2 linked regions of the Arabidopsis thaliana genome follow. The protein of the gene in region 2 interacts with the protein of the main gene of each other region in a pairwise test. Each region holds a gene or a part of one and is shown on either strand. Other genes may lie near its edges.

Region 1 (8,557 bases), 4.2 Mb from region 2:
GTTAAATATATTTACTACCGATATACTACTTGATTAGTGGTTCACATTATACATTAAAAAATGTGGAAACTCGTGATATAAAATATCTTACCGACAAATACAAAATAAAAAGGTGTAAGAACAAAACACTGTCTAAGCCTGCAAGCCTCGAATAAAAACAATGTACCTTTTTTTTAATATCGAGTAAAAACCGTGAATATCAACTGAAAACAAATCATTCTTTCAAAATGGTTATTCTTGAACCAAAATTTTTTAAATTGTTACCATTCCAATTATAACTTCTCTATCAATGTTTAAGCATTACAGAATCGAAATAAAAAAAGAGAATTAAAGAGAGCAATTTCAAGATAATACATAATTTCATAGTTGGACTACATAACTGAACCGGGAAATCGCATACTAAACCAATCAAAATCAGACTAACCAAACAAAAGCATTAGAAGATCAGTCCGATGTTACGACAATAACCCTAGAACATGGCCGAAACATTAGTGGCAGAAGATGACTTTGAGCTCTCTAGGAGAAGCACAGTCATGCATAAGCGAAGGACTATCATGAGCAAAAGTGAAACTCGAAGGACACGCATGCTTAAAGAACAGCGAATGGCTCGAAGCTTTACACGTGTTAGGGCTATTGTAATGACCACGACAACACAGCTCGTCTGTATGGAAAGCCTCACACCCACTCTTACAAGCCACCACGTGTCCACTGTGTGACCGGACCTGAAGATGAGCCGGACACGTTTTTATTAGATCTTCACGACAACCAACGACAGGACAGACACCATGGCCTTCGTGAGGAGTCACGGTCATCGGAACATTGTAACCGTCAACGAGAGAGACACCGTAAGAGGAGAAGTCGTGGTGACCACCGTGGTGGAGGTCGAACTGAGCTAGAGAAGCTGGTGGTGCCCCGCCGAGACCGTTGCATTCCAGGCGGTTTCCGCAGTCTCCGGTGAGGCAGGAGAATTTTCCGTTGTAGTGGGCACACCAGGTTCTGGCCCAGATGCGACCGGACCAGTGTGTGGTTGGAACGTTGAAGGAGCGGTGAGTGAAAGTTGGGAGAGCGAAGCCACCTTTCTCTAGGACGGGGTGGCCGGCGTTGGGTTGAATGGCTGGCCAGACAGTGAAGGGACAGTTGTTGACGACGGTGAGGAAGAGACGGGAAGTGTCTACGGCGGAGGAGAAGGAGATGAGGAGGAGGAAGGAGGCGGCGAGAGGAAGAGAGGTTTTAGCCATTGTGTAGCTTTTGGTGTGAAAGGTGTGCCAATGCGACGTGTGTGTATATAAGCTAAAGTATTTTTCGATATGCATACATTTTTTGGAGTGACGAAAATACCCTTTGGATGTTTTGGGTGGTTAGGCAATGAATTTAGCATGTGGGTTTAAGGAGGCGAAGGGCTTTAATGTCAGTTTAAAAGAGATGAATATTGGATTCTATTTCTATGAGTCAAAAGCTTGAAAGCTCTTTAAAGAATAAAATGATGGCATGTGGTTTGTGACTAACGAAGCTTTGTTTCCTTCATTGGTAAACTAATCCTAATGTGTGTTTTTGGTAAATAGCACTATTTCGGATGGTTGAAAAATAACATATTCTGAAAATATTAGGCAGATATATTAATTTTTAGCTGTTTCCAACAGTTTTGCTTTTCTAGGATAGTAAGCATTCACATATGTAATGTTTACAAGTTACAATGAGTAAACCATAATGCAAACATTTTAGATGGACCGATTGATTTATGTGTTCTAAACTTCTAAACCTATTGAAATGTACACTCTATTACATGCTATGTGACTCATGATTGTAACAACATGACAACTTTCTCTGAATATTAGTGTAATGTGGCTACACTGACAAGTTATATTCGTTCAGATTAGTAACAGGGTTCTTTGACAAACACATCAAAACGACAAACACCAAACGACAACACGACAAAACAAGATGTCTTTTGTCTACTTGTACAACTTCGAGAATTTGAAAATCGTGTAACCATATCTTGGGCCTCAGCCCAATCCAAATCGTAATATTTTTACCTCTCTCTATTTTATCCATGCCAATCCAAAGAACAATGCTTCTTTGTCAGGAAGTAATTGTTGTTTATTCATGGGGAATCGTTGTCTCGTTTATTGCACAAATTACTATACTACTTGATTCACATTTACCATTTTTATAAGCTGACAAAGCTAATAAAAGCACCAAACAAATAGATTGCAAGTTTACAACAACGAAATGCTAACAAAACTGAAGCGGGCATGTTGAAAAGTCATAATAGTACACACATTTACGTTAATACATTTATAATAAGATGAATCACATAAACAATTTACTTTGATCAACTACTGCTTTTAACTTTAGAATGACCTTTTTGTGCCCTAATATTAGATAATTACCGGACATGGTGTATGCAAATATATATCAAAAGATCAAACTAAGGAACAAGATTCAAATCTCTCTCTTTTCTCTTCCTTACTTGCAATTTCGTTTGCTTTGGTTCTATACAGTGCGTTTCCGCTTCGATCTTTTGCTTCTTCGTTGGCCAACCTCAGGAAGCGGCTTGCTTGTTGTGCTCGAAGCTAACGCTCCTTCACGAGCCTCTTCTTCCTCATCATCAGACCCTTCTTCTGATTCAGACTGAGATTCTTCTACCAATTCAACTGTATCTTTCGCAACCGCCTTGTTCTTCTTGCTGCGCTTCTCTTGCTCTTTTAATTGTCTAAATCTGTTGTGATCCAATATACATTTATCAGAAATAACAAACTTGTAAGAAAAACGCTTCGTATTGAGAGATATAATCTCCACTAGACTCGGGATTCACTTACCTTTCGCCAGCATCGTCAGGCTGAGCAATAGATCTCTTTGCTCGTCCCGCACTTATTATTTTGCTTGCGTTTTCATCCATATTTGGCTTTGCACCACCTAGTTTACGCAGATATACTTGTTGGGCGGTACTAAGTACATTATTTGTGAGCCTAAAACCATAGGATGGTTTAACATAAGCAGTAGCATAATAAAAAGGGAAAAAATAAAACTCAGATCCTACCAATAAACACAGTCATATACAATAATATTGATGTTACAAAATGTAGTCACACTAGATGATTCCTTATCAAACAAGCTTCGTATTCCTCGAAATTCTAACCCGTCTTACGTACATTTTGAGAATGAAGCCATCTAGGTTAATTACTAGAGAAAATCTTTCTTATACTCCATTTAATGAGTAGATCAAGGGCATGGATAAAACAGTTAGATGAGAAGTTTCAAGGAGAGGGAAACCAACCAGTAAATAGATAGTCCTGATGGGACAGACAATGCAAAGTAACCGATCATGAGTGGAAGAAACTTGAAAACAAGAAGCGTATTCTTCTGTGCAGGATCATCAGTCTGACAAAAGAAATTAAATTCGGTTTCAGAACAATCATATCAAATTGTTTAAGTAACAGGAAAAATAAAAGAAACTTGTGTTTATTTCTCACTTGAGGAGGCTTCATAATTTCCATTGACACATACTGGGAGGCAATAAGTAGAACAGGTAGAACAAGATAAGCTACAGTGTCATACCATCCCAATGGTGGATGCCCGTCCTGCACCACCGAACGATATTAGACACCAATTTGATAAAGGTTCATTGCACAGCAAAAGACTCAGTTGTATGAAATTTTTTAGTATAAAGATAAGTATCAAATGAGAAAACGTATTCACATAAAGTTTTTTTCTTCCATTACCACAAACGGAAAAAGCCACGAAATGCCGGATCCACTCTGCCGAGCAGCTATAGATGTTGGTCCACCCAGAGATGGAATCCAAAAGAAACCTTCTGTAAACAATCCCTACAAAAAAAAAGTTTTTAGAACAATTAGTAGTTGAAAGAGACAAACTTATCCGGTCTCTAGCGAAATCAGTAGTTGAAAGAGACATAAGGTATATGTACCTCGTTGGCCACGTTAGAGAGAGCTTGGTATAAACCAATCCAAACTGGTATGGTTGCTAAAGTTGGTAAGCAACCTAACATAAAAAAAACAATAATGTGCATATGTCACCACAATTCAGGAAGGGAATACAAAACTCGTAACTTCTAAAAGAAAGTACCTGCCAACGGATTAACACCAGCTTGTTTATACAATCGCGATGTCTCTAGTTGTATCCTCTCCTATATATCCAAAAACAGAACAAACAAATCAGACTCGTCATCCACAAGTAACTCATTCTCTATCCAAAGAAACTCACCTGATTTCCTGCGTAACGTTGTTGAATCGCTTTGATTTTCGGTTGAAGATTTTGCATCGCTAGTGTTGATTCAACCTAAAGGATTCCAAAACAAAAGCAATGCTCAAAAATTCTCAACCAACATGCCAAAATTGAATCAAAGTGACAAGAGGAGCTGCAAAATTCAACTAATCACACTCACTAACCTGTTGCTTAGTCAAAGGATACGTCGCTGCTTTGACGATAATCGTAAGCAAGATAATCGCAAATCCATAAGCATAAGGTACATGAACCGCTGATAATCCATCCTTCAAAATCTAAAAATCCAAACCAAAAAACTTAAGCTACAAATACAATTTCCAGAATTCTACACACAGAGATCGAAATTAGCAGCTTAAAACTCACCTTAAGAACCAATTCCATAGCATCGGAGATAAAACCAAACCAACCACCACTCTTCTGCACGGCGGATGAATCAGTAGTTACGACGGAATCAGCACCAACAACGGCGGCGTCAGCTATTGTATAGAGAAGAGATTCAGCTCTGGTGAAAATCGCTCCGATGTCTACAGATGAATCCAAGCCATGGAAAGGAGGAATCTCGTTTAAGCTGAATCGTACGGTGGTTGAAGTAGTGAAGAGTTTGTTATTATTACTCCGGTATGGAAGAAATTGAGCGGTTCCTCCTCCTCCTACTCCACTGTGACGGAGAGATGACGACGGTTTAATCAACGGTGAACCGAAGAATGAAGATGGAGACGAGACTAGAACTCTCGCCATTGGAGCTTGAGAGGAGGATGAGAAGAGACGAAGAAGAAGATAGAGATTTTTATTTTTTTATTTTGTAAATTTTTTTCTGGATTTATCTTTTTTTGAAAATAAATTGGAAAATGAAAATGAGAGACGAAGCTGGTGATCGCGCGTGGTGGAGATTACATCCAGTCATAGGAGTCCACGTGGACATGTATCTAACGTGGGATATATCGGTGCTTTTTGTAGTTTGGGCTTATTAGGGCCCATTTTAGAAACAGGCCTGCTTAACTTAATAGGCTTAATTACCAATCCATCAATCTCCAAGCTCAATGCATGGATCACTTCCCCAACACAAAATAAAACTGAAAGCATACAAAATAGAAACCGATTTAGAAAATACTTTATGTAAATACTTTTCTATAAAAATCAAATCTCGAATGCTTTGTGAATGTATGGTAAGCTTTTCCACAAAATATATATAATTGTGAAGAAAAAGCTGCGTACTCTCTTTCAATTAGTTGACATCGAATCTGATTCTCACACCACCACCTTTCTTACTTTTATTTCTTGTCATTATCACTTTCTTTCCACGTTTTATATTATGTAGTTTTTATAAACAAAAAAACAAATGAACTAATCTGAAACATTTATCGAGAACCTATACACAACCCTAAAAAGGTAAGCTTGAGTCATAGGACTTAACTTCCCAAAGCCATAATCCGGTTCCCAAATCTTCATAACTTACGAAATAGTAAGTGATTACAAGGCCTTTAAAGATTAATCCCACAAAGAAAATGTATTTAACACTAGAGCTTGATCGATGTCTATAATGAGTTCAGCCTAAATAATGGTCGTAAATAATGCTCTCTAACGTAAGATAGTTATAAATTACGCTTTGAGTCCCAAGTCTAGTGGAAAAAACAAATGGGATAGAATTTTCATGCTTTTAGGGAATTAAATGTGACCGCAAATGGGACTAAGTAAAATCTTTTGGATAATGATCTCTAGTGTTGTATAGATTTTAGGATCCTAATCTCTCAGTTAATAAGCAAAAAGAACAAGGTTTAAATGTTCATAGAGGGATTCGTTCCTTAATCTCTAGCTCAGATCGATAGCTTCAAAACCTATAATCAATAATCTCTCAATAATTTTTTACCAAAAAAAACAAACCTATAATCACCGGCTCGCTCTAAGTGCACACCCATACGTTTATGTGATGTAATATTCAACAAAACATAGCTAACGTTATGAGTTTTTTTAAGCATCATACTGAATTAAATATCTTCCACATTGTTTTCAAGAATCATCCACCGTTCCTCAATTATATTTCACACGTCACGATCATATATAGACCTATACCAAATACTATATATAGAAATTAAATTTAAAGTTGTTTTGAAAATAATTATATTTGTTATTATTATTTTTCGTTGTGAAATAATTATTTATTTCATAATTTGTTTTTTAACATAAATTTTTGATAGAAATGATGATGTTGTAAGTTTGACAAAAAAAATAAAAAAAATGATGATGTTGTATTTTTTTCTTAATTTTATATGACAACGAACGATTAAGAGTTCGTATTTATTGTTTTATAACATAACGACGTCGACACAGAACTTTCAAGGCTAAACTCACTTTTTGATGGAGACGTAAGAATAATTTATGGGTAATAACTCATTAATTTGTTACTAAATAGAAATTATTTCTCTAAAATGCTTTTCAATTCATATACAAAGGATACATAGGAAAATTATAAAAAGTAATATTTGTATGTACGGACCATCAGAATAATAACGTAATATTTTTTAATCAGGTTGCATATTACCTCGGGCTTCCATTGATTAATGGGTGCATAAGTAATTAAGTAAATTCATATGCAAAGTTAAGAGTGGTACAAATTATAACCGCATATGCGTTCTTTAAAAAAGTAATTATGAAAATTTGTTCGGCAGATGAAGCAAATGATTAGTACACCTATGCCAAATCTTAAAAAATTAGAATGGAAAGCGATATATGAAATTGAACGTAGTCATATTGAATTCGTAATCGAGACTTTCACTATTGTTTTTAAGAATGTTTGGACGAGAAAGAAGCTCATAAAGCAATAAATTAGTTAACGTTCATAATTGAAGCATTGACACCAGGAGAGAAAAAAAGAGCAATTCATTGCTTCCCTAGTAAAAAAAAAAAAAAAAAAAAAAAAAAAAAAAAAAAAAATCAGATATTTGTGGATAAAGAGTTAAAAGAAATTGTTTCGTCATTTTTTTCTGTCATAATTTCGTCAACTTTTTGTTTAACAATATGCATTATATAAATTTTATTAATAATAGTAACACATAGACACGATTGTAGCATAAACCACTAAAATACATGGTTTCAGTGTATCTAAGCTTTTGACATGTAGAAGTTCTACGTTTTTCATGATAAATTCGAAAAATTATTGAGAAATGATATATGGTCAAAATGAAGAAAAAAAGAGAGAAGATAACAACAAAATGGAGAAGGACAAGAGCACAAAAGAGATGAGTGGGATTATGAAAAGGTTTGCTGATGATTTCATGCATGATCAACTAACGTTAAAGATTATTTGTTTTTAGGGTAATAATACAACATATACGCCATTTTAGGCAATCTCTTTCTGAAAAAGATGTTCGCATTTATATACGAAACGACTGATTATTAAAGATATATACTACATACAACAAAATCGTTAGGGAAAAGTAAAAGAGAAGATAAAATGTAGAGACAATTTGAAAGATCTCTTCTTTGTTCTTCTTTTGAAAATAAAAATAAAAGTAGACATAAAATAGAAGTTGTAAATGACAGGTTTCATCTTTTTCATGCTTTTTTTTCCCTTTCTTTACGTCGTTTGATACCGAGTAAAGTTATTTTCATACTAAGATTCAGTCATTATTCTTGTTAGAGTTATTGTTCTTATATATTGAAATATTAATATCAATAGGAAACGAGATTAGTATCATAGTTTTTTAATGATGACGTAGAACATTTATATTTCATTGAATAGTTAATAGTAGACAATCAATGGTTGTTTTATTGTGAATTTGGTTCACCCCTTTCATTTGTTTTATTGCAAGATTACAAGCTTATATATGTTTGCAATCAACAAGATAATTAATATATTCAAAAAAGATTCATATAAGAGATAAAACCATCGCCATGAAGATATCTAATGAACGAAGACGAAAACGACAGATCAGGGACAAGCCTACTCTTGAGTCTTGACCCACAAAGATACCCTAATTAAGCTTTCATGATTACGGATCTATATGATAATGAACCCTATTAAGCAAAGTTAATTTATACTTAGCCATCAACGTACATATATATTTCCAATAATAAATGCAAATAAAAATGATAATTATGACAAATTAACCAAAAGTTAAGTTAGCAATGGACCTTGGCGTTTTAAATATTGGCATGGTTAGCAAATAGCATACAAATATATGAAATGATAGCCTGAAAATCTAGTAATATTATTTTTATTTTAGTTTATAAGGCTCATCCATTACTTTTTATAAAAATGCCTTTATTCTGTTTACTGAAAAAAAAATCTTTTAACATAGTTTTGTCAATTTAA
Region 2 (8,093 bases):
GCTCGTGCTCCTTAAAGAGATTGTACAGATGTTTTTTGGAGGCATCAAGAGGCCAAAGAATTTTGCTCTGTTGAGTCGTTTTCGAGTGTAATATTTTTGCGGCTGCGTCTTTTTTTCTTTTTAATATGGATTCATTTGGGGTTACAATAACAGCCAAGGTTAGGCTTTATACAAAGAAGATAATATACGAAAGGTACCGCAATTTTTGCCGCTGTTGTATGATTCGACATTGGGAGAGATTGTTCTAATAAGCATGTTTCTGTTTGGGGTTCTTTTCCCCGTGTTATTGAGTGTTGTAATAACAATTTACCAGGAAAATATGATTAACAAATCACTGTTATGATCAATGTTTCTTATAATTATTCATACCAATGTGGTATACGTATGTTATGACCTCTCATTTCAGATCACTATTGCACAGTTACGCCAGAAATGCAATTAGTTAATTGTGGTCGATGGACTAATTATCGGACTAATGGTCCGATTAGTCCGTATCTGGTTAAGTCACATAAACAAGTTAAATCTGCCTTCTAAATTCTAAGATCTACGGTCATATCCAATCATCCACAATTTTGTATTCATCCAGAAATAAAAAGCCAATGATATATTTCTTTCTTTCTTTCAATAAATCCATGATGAACTAATAATAAATGTATTTGATGCATATGACATGTTATCCAAACTTATATTCCATTTTATTCTTAATTTAGTATATGATCTTCCCATTAAATTCCATTTTATTCTTAATTAGGTATAAGATCTTCCCATTAAATTCCATTTTATTCTTAATTAAGTATAAGATCTACCTCTCTTAGTGATGTAAACTTAATAAAATTGTGTACCATTTGTTGCCGCCCGGTTCTTCTATATTAGTTTATATTACATCAAATTTGATTACAATATAAAAGGCAACGTTCATGCTTATCATCTACATTAATTTCACTAGATTTTTAAAGAAAAATTGTAGAGACATGGAGAATCTACATTAGTAGTATAAATACACGCTTATTCTTAGCCTAGTCTTACTACACAAAACAAAACAAAACAAAACAAAGCAATGGCCAAAACGATTCGGTCTTTCATTCTCCCTTTCCTCCTCATAGTCGCCGGCGTGATCTTTCAACTCTCAGCCGTGACTTCCGCCATTGGTATCAACTATGGAACACTAGGGAACCTTCAACCTCCACAACAAGTGGTTGACTTCATCAAGACAAAGACCACTTTTGACAGTGTCAAGATCTATGATGCTAATCCCGACATCCTCCGAGCCTTCGCGGGCTCTGAAATCAACATCACCATCATGGTCCCTAACGGTAACATTCCTGCCATGGTCAACGTTGCAAATGCTCGTCAATGGGTCGCTGCCAATGTCTTACCGTTTCAGCAGCAGATCAAGTTCAAATACGTTTGTGTCGGAAACGAGATTCTTGCTAGTAACGACAATAACTTGATATCAAATCTTGTACCAGCGATGCAAAGTCTTAACGAAGCTTTAAAAGCTTCCAATCTCACTTATATCAAGGTTAGTTTCAAGTCATGATGATAAAAAAAAAAAAAAAAACTTGCGTTTACGAAAACACTAATACTAATACATGAATGTTTTTTTTTTTGTTTTTTTACATATGAATCATATTTCATAAATATTTTTTGAATACGTTGTTATTTGATACTACTATCAACAAAATGTAATTAATCCACCATTATTTGGCTTCAGGTGACAACTCCACATGCATTTACCATAAGCTATAACCGTAATACACCAAGTGAGAGCAGATTTACTAACGATCAAAAAGATATTTTTACAAAGATCTTGGAATTTCATCGTCAGGCTAAGTCCCCATTCATGATCAACGCCTACACTTTTTTCACGATGGACACGAACAATGTCAATTACGCAATATTTGGTCCATCAAATGCAATAACGGATACCAATACACAACAAACCTACACCAACATGTTTGACGCAGTCATGGATGCAACATATTCTGCTATGAAAGCTCTTGGCTATGGCGACGTAGATATCGCGGTAGGGGAGACCGGTTGGCCCACGGCTTGTGACGCTTCATGGTGCTCACCTCAAAACGCTGAAAACTACAACCTCAATATCATCAAGCGTGCACAAGTTATAGGGACACCTCTAATGCCCAACCGCCACATCGATATCTTCATATTTGCATTGTTCAATGAAGATGGAAAACCCGGTCCAACACGTGAGAGAAATTGGGGGATATTTAAACCGGATTTTTCACCGATGTATGATGTTGGAGTTCTAAAAGGCGGTGGAAGCCCGCTTCCGTTTCCACCGATAAACAACAATGGAAAATGGTGTGTGGGAAAACCAGAAGCGACGTTAATGCAACTACAAGCAAATATTGATTGGGTATGCAGCCATGGTATTGATTGTACACCAATCTCACCTGGTGGCATATGTTTTGACAACAACAACATGACGACTCGGTCCTCGTTTATTATGAACGCTTATTACCAAAGCAAGGGATGCGTTGATGTTGTCTGTGATTTTAGCGGTACTGGCATCGTTACCAGTACCAACCCAAGCACTAGCACATGCCCTATACCGATAGGGGAAGGTGGCGGCGGCAATGGCGCAAAAAGCAAAAGTGCAAATTGGTGTATGGCGAAACAAGAAGCGACAGAGACACAACTACAAGCTAATATTGATTGGGTGTGTAGCCAAGGTATTGATTGTAAACCAATATCACCTGGTGGCATATGTTTTGATAACAACAACATGAAGACTCGATCCACGTTCATAATGAACGCTTATTACGAGAGCAAAGGATACTCCAAAGACGCTTGTGACTTCCGTGGTAGTGGCATCGTCACTACTACCAACCCAAGCACTAGCACATGCGTCGTACCAGCATCAGTAACGCTCTGAATTTTTAAAAAGCAACTACAGAAACTGAAAAAAATCAATAAAACAAGATCCTTTTATTTCATTATAAGAACAATCATTTTTCGTTGTTTTTATGTTGTATCTTTAATTTTCATTATATTTTTCAAATATTTATGTAGACATGTACATGAAAAAGAAAAATTATATACATATGGTAAAATATCCAAATTATACTTTGTCATTTCCATCTATTCATTTTCTAGTTATTCATATATATAATCTGCCATTTCCAAATCATAATATTGATCAGTTTTATTCTTTAACATATTTTAATCCACATTTTTTTCTGTATATTGAAAATTGTTAATCAATAAAACTTTATTTTATTATAATTTGAGATTTTGTTCAACATTAACACTACCAAACGAACCGGAACCTAAATGGCTAAACCAAAAGTCAAACCGAAATGGCTATCTCAAATTGAGCTCTGCTGCATTTTAATCTGAAATTAGGGATTGAACCATCTTCACGGATCAATCATTAGACTTTAGCTTTTCTTGCTTATTCTTCACGGATTGGTTTCGATCTCTCCTTCTTCACTCTCTCTCTTTCTCGTGAAAGCAAAACAGATCTCAAATCTCGGGAGCAACAATGGAGTTTCTGGTAACAGTTGCGGAATTCAGCCTCTGGCTGCTGCTGATCGTCTTATTCGGATTTCTATCCGTTGTTGTTTTTGAAGCTTGGAGAAGGAGACACAGTAACGTGTACGTTTTACTCAATTTCTTCGAATTTGTTCCGATTTCTGAGGATAAGATTTGATTGATTTGTTTTGGATTTTCTCAGCTCTGTCGAGACCGTGACTACACTCGACGATCCGAAATCTATAAAACCGGTAACGTCTGATTGATTTATCGTATTAGTTTACAGTGATTTTCTGGCAATAGTGTGGCAAAGAACGATAGCGTTTTGAAAATCAGTTAATTATAGTTAATGGAACTGAGATTTTCTCGTTAAAAAGGTTTTGCGTTGGCGATTTGAACACTTGATTCTGTGTTTCGCTAAAACGAATGTTGAAGCTTCACGTAGTCTTTAAGAGGAACTGTTTCCATTAGTTTAGCTCTTTTTTTGTATCAAATGTTACATTTTGGTTTAGCAAAGAAGCTTGAGAAGTTATATTGTATAGTCGTGTGAAACTTGATAAGTAGTTTATGGAGTCTCTTCCAGATGCAGACTTTGGAAACTCTTAAGTTAGTGGCTTAGCTAGAAAAATTAAGTGTTCCATTATAATGTTGAATCCATACATAGATTGTCTTGTCAATTATAACGAGTTTGACTTGCTTGATCGCATTTTCTGGTGGTTGAGGAATCTGATTTTACTTTTCCTGACCCTGTTTTTCAAACTTTATTATCAGATTCCTTGCCCTCATATTACCGACCCTGCCGAGAAGTATTTGTCTTTAATAGTTCCAGCGTATAATGAAGAACTGAGACTTCCTGCTGCTCTTGAGGAAACAATGGAGTAAGTTAGACAACTTCCACTTATTCGAATCTCCCTTTTACTGGATTGTGTGTCTGCTTCCAATCGTGAGAAGTTTGCTTCTCTTGCGAAACAGCAGCACAAGTCTTATTTATGCATACTACAGAGGCATAATTGTAATTCGCCTCTGGTTTGCAGTTACCTTCAAGATCGTGCATCACGGGACAAGAGTTTTTCTTTTGAGGTAAATACTAAGTAGTTTTCCATACTAAGTAGTTCTCCTTACAACTGATTAAGGTGGATTCTTAACATAGATATGGCCTTTGTTATGGTGAATATGTATGAGCTTTTAAACGTTTTTTGTCCCTAAATTTGATTTACCTAACTCTATTAAAAAAAGGAGAGTAATGCTCACAACTTATTAATCTATCAATATAGACTGCCCACTCATGCTAAATTTCTCAATAAGTCGTTATTGTGTTCCTTAAACCCTATATGCATCAGTGGATTAAGTTTACCTTTTCTCCTTTTAGGTGGTGATTGTTGATGATGGAAGTGTTGATGGAACAAAAAGAGTAGCTTTTGATTTCATTAGAAAGTACACAATTGACAACATAAGGGTTATACCCCTTGGGAAGAATCAAGGCAAAGGAGAAGCTATAAGAAAAGTGAGTTCAACTCGTAGCGCATGCAATTCTATATATTTATTTTATGTGATTGAGTAAGACTGTAAATTTGTCATTTCATAGTACAAAAAAATAATCGAAGCTTTCTACTTTTTGAAAGCATTGAATAGGGAATGTTGCATTCGCGGGGTCAGCTACTTCTCATGTTGGATGCTGATGGAGCAACTAAAGTAACGGACCTAGAAAAACTTGAAAATCAGGTTTGCCCTTAGTTTTGACTGTTAAAACTTCAGAGAAACTAGAAATTGTGCTATAAATTTCCTGATCTCCTAGCCTCTCAGATCAATGCAGTAGCCAGAGAAGAATATTCAATCAGAAATCCAGCATCTAAGGATATGGATTTCAAAATAGGTGATGTTCAAGTATCCGCATTTGGTTCTCGTGCTCATCTCGAGGAGAAAGCTCTTGCTACAGTTAAGTCTTGCAAACTTCTGTTCTAGACAACATCATTCTTTGTCTATGTACACACACAGATGCATATACTTATTACGCATCTTAGATAATTGACTTTTAGTCTTTCAATTTCAGAGGAAATGGTATCGCAACTTTCTGATGAAGGGTTTCCATCTTGTGGTTCTATTAGCTGCTGGTCCTGGTATTCGGGATACACAGGTGGCTTTTTAAATCTCATTCGTTGTTTCCTTCTACACTCTCTGTTTCACCAATCTTGAATAGTAATAACTAAACATCATTTTTTTTAATCAGTGTGGCTTCAAGATGTTTACTAGGGCTGCTGCTAGGAGACTTTTCACAAACGTCCATCTGAAAAGGTATATGAGTAAATGAATCGATGATGATAAACTAGCAGTAAAAACATCAATAAGAGTCTCATCTGACTCGGTCTATGCGCAGGTGGTGCTTTGATGTTGAATTGGTGTACTTGTGCAAGCGTTTTAATATACCAATGGTTGAAATCTCTGTGAAATGGTCCGAAATTCCCGGGTCTAAAGTCAGTATGTTGAGCATTCCAAACATGCTTTGGGAGCTTGCTTTAATGTCTGTGGGATACAGAACTGGCATGTGGAAGATCCATCAAGTATGAGACACATAGACAACAACATACATAGAGCATTTCCTCTTGGGAATAACAACTCGTCCACGCTGGTTTTCTGCAGAGAGGATATAGTTTTGATGTCTCTGAATTTCTGGTCAAGCTCAAGGAAAGCTAAGGCGATAGAAAATATGTCGGTCTTTGTTTCAATAGATGTGATAAAAATCTTACCGGATTATAAATGATGAAATGAAACTACTACAGCTCTAGATTTTTTTTTTTTTGGTTTTAGTTTAAACTACTCAAACTTTGTTCAAAAAAAAAAAAAAAAAAAAAGTTTAAACTACTCAAACATTCCAATGACAGTGCTCTACTTTGAGTTTTACATCTTCATGGCATGAACTAAAGATTAAAGTCTTAATCTTAGGAACTGATTGATCCTCTTATAAACTAAATCGCTCTAATTAAATGACTTCAATTTTATAATTTATATATTACAGAAAATTTTGAAGCTTTCAAATTTAACGGTTTTTCCTATAAACCGCCAAAAAACTGCAAATGCATCCTCGTCGCCGGTGAAATGCCAATTAACTACACTAACCTCCTCCTTATGCTCCGGGAATGTAAGAACTTCCGGTGTCTTCTTCAAGTTCACGGCAGCTTGATAGTCTCAGGTCTTAAACCTCATAACCAGCTCATAAACGCTTATTCTCTCTTTCAAAGACAGGACCTTTCTCGCGTCATCTTTGATTCAGTTCGAGATCCAGGTGTTGTCTTGTGGAATTCAATGATCAGAGGATACACGAGAGCCGGTTTGCACAGAGAAGCTCTCGGATTCTTCGGGTATATGTCGGAGGAGAAAGGTATTGATCCAGACAAGTACAGTTTCACTTTTGCTTTGAAGGCTTGTGCCGGATCTATGGACTTTAAGAAGGGTTTACGGATACATGATTTGATTGCTGAGATGGGTCTTGAGTCTGATGTTTATATAGGAACTGCGTTAGTTGAAATGTATTGTAAAGCTCGTGACTTGGTTTCTGCAAGACAAGTGTTCGATAAAATGCATGTGAAGGATGTTGTTACTTGGAACACTATGGTTTCCGGGTTGGCTCAAAATGGATGTTCTAGTGCAGCTTTGCTGTTGTTTCATGATATGCGTTCGTGTTGTGTTGACATTGATCATGTTAGTTTATATAATCTGATCCCTGCGGTTTCGAAGCTAGAGAAGAGTGATGTCTGTAGATGTCTTCACGGACTTGTGATTAAGAAAGGTTTTATCTTTGCTTTCTCTAGTGGGCTGATTGACATGTATTGCAACTGCGCGGATTTATATGCTGCTGAATCTGTTTTTGAAGAAGTGTGGAGGAAGGATGAGTCTTCATGGGGTACAATGATGGCAGCTTATGCACATAATGGGTTCTTTGAGGAGGTATTGGAGTTGTTTGACCTTATGAGAAACTATGATGTTAGAATGAATAAGGTAGCTGCAGCAAGTGCTCTTCAAGCTGCTGCATATGTAGGGGATTTAGTGAAGGGGATTGCAATTCATGATTACGCAGTGCAACAAGGATTGATCGGTGATGTCTCAGTTGCTACTTCTCTTATGAGTATGTATTCCAAATGTGGTGAGTTGGAGATAGCCGAACAACTGTTCATTAATATTGAAGATAGAGATGTTGTTTCTTGGTCTGCCATGATTGCGTCGTATGAGCAAGCAGGGCAACACGATGAGGCTATCTCTTTGTTTAGAGATATGATGAGAATACATATCAAGCCTAATGCTGTAACTTTGACTAGTGTGCTACAAGGGTGTGCAGGAGTAGCCGCCTCTAGATTGGGTAAGAGCATACATTGTTATGCTATAAAGGCTGATATTGAGTCTGAGTTGGAAACTGCCACAGCTGTTATTTCAATGTACGCTAAATGTGGTCGATTTTCTCCCGCGCTCAAAGCCTTTGAAAGACTGCCAATTAAAGATGCTGTGGCATTCAACGCTCTAGCGCAAGGGTATACTCAGATTGGTGATGCCAATAAAGCATTTGATGTGTACAAGAACATGAAGTTACATGGTGTATGCCCAGA

Evidence for each region. The genes of interacting proteins can lie anywhere in the genome.
Region 1: the proteins of AT2G39630 (region 2) and ALB3 interact in a protein complementation assay, tested with the Arabidopsis thaliana proteins (one study listed by BioGRID).

What each region holds. Positions count from the first base shown.
Region 1 is NC_003071.7:12,354,176-12,362,732, forward strand, and holds ALB3 (63 kDa inner membrane family protein), read right to left. Parts: upstream 5,394-8,557; 5' UTR 4,984-5,393; coding exon 4,609-4,983; intron 4,521-4,608; coding exon 4,410-4,520; intron 4,300-4,409; coding exon 4,225-4,299; intron 4,148-4,224; coding exon 4,087-4,147; intron 4,003-4,086; coding exon 3,929-4,002; intron 3,828-3,928; coding exon 3,723-3,827; intron 3,582-3,722; coding exon 3,474-3,581; intron 3,382-3,473; coding exon 3,278-3,381; coding exon of another isoform or gene 3,244-3,277; exon of another isoform or gene 2,970-3,243; coding exon 2,820-2,969; intron 2,720-2,819; coding exon 2,494-2,719; 3' UTR 2,146-2,493; downstream 1-2,145. Other genes in the region: AT2G28790 (Pathogenesis-related thaumatin superfamily protein), read right to left, coding at 489-1,313. UniProt on the Arabidopsis thaliana protein: Required for the insertion of some light harvesting chlorophyll-binding proteins (LHCP) into the chloroplast thylakoid membrane.
Region 2 is NC_003071.7:16,519,977-16,528,069, reverse strand, and holds AT2G39630 (Nucleotide-diphospho-sugar transferases superfamily protein), read left to right. Parts: upstream 1-3,286; 5' UTR 3,287-3,508; coding exon 3,509-3,621; intron 3,622-3,700; coding exon 3,701-3,749; intron 3,750-4,269; coding exon 4,270-4,376; intron 4,377-4,532; coding exon 4,533-4,578; intron 4,579-4,867; coding exon 4,868-5,002; intron 5,003-5,130; coding exon 5,131-5,220; intron 5,221-5,301; coding exon 5,302-5,433; coding exon of another isoform or gene 5,434-5,460; exon of another isoform or gene 5,461-5,534; coding exon of another isoform or gene 5,535-5,548; coding exon 5,549-5,632; intron 5,633-5,725; coding exon 5,726-5,790; intron 5,791-5,872; coding exon 5,873-6,062; 3' UTR 6,063-6,326; downstream 6,327-8,093. Other genes in the region: AT2G39640 (glycosyl hydrolase family 17 protein), read left to right, coding at 1,058-1,522, 1,715-2,899; AT2G39620 (Pentatricopeptide repeat (PPR) superfamily protein), read left to right, coding at 6,592-8,093.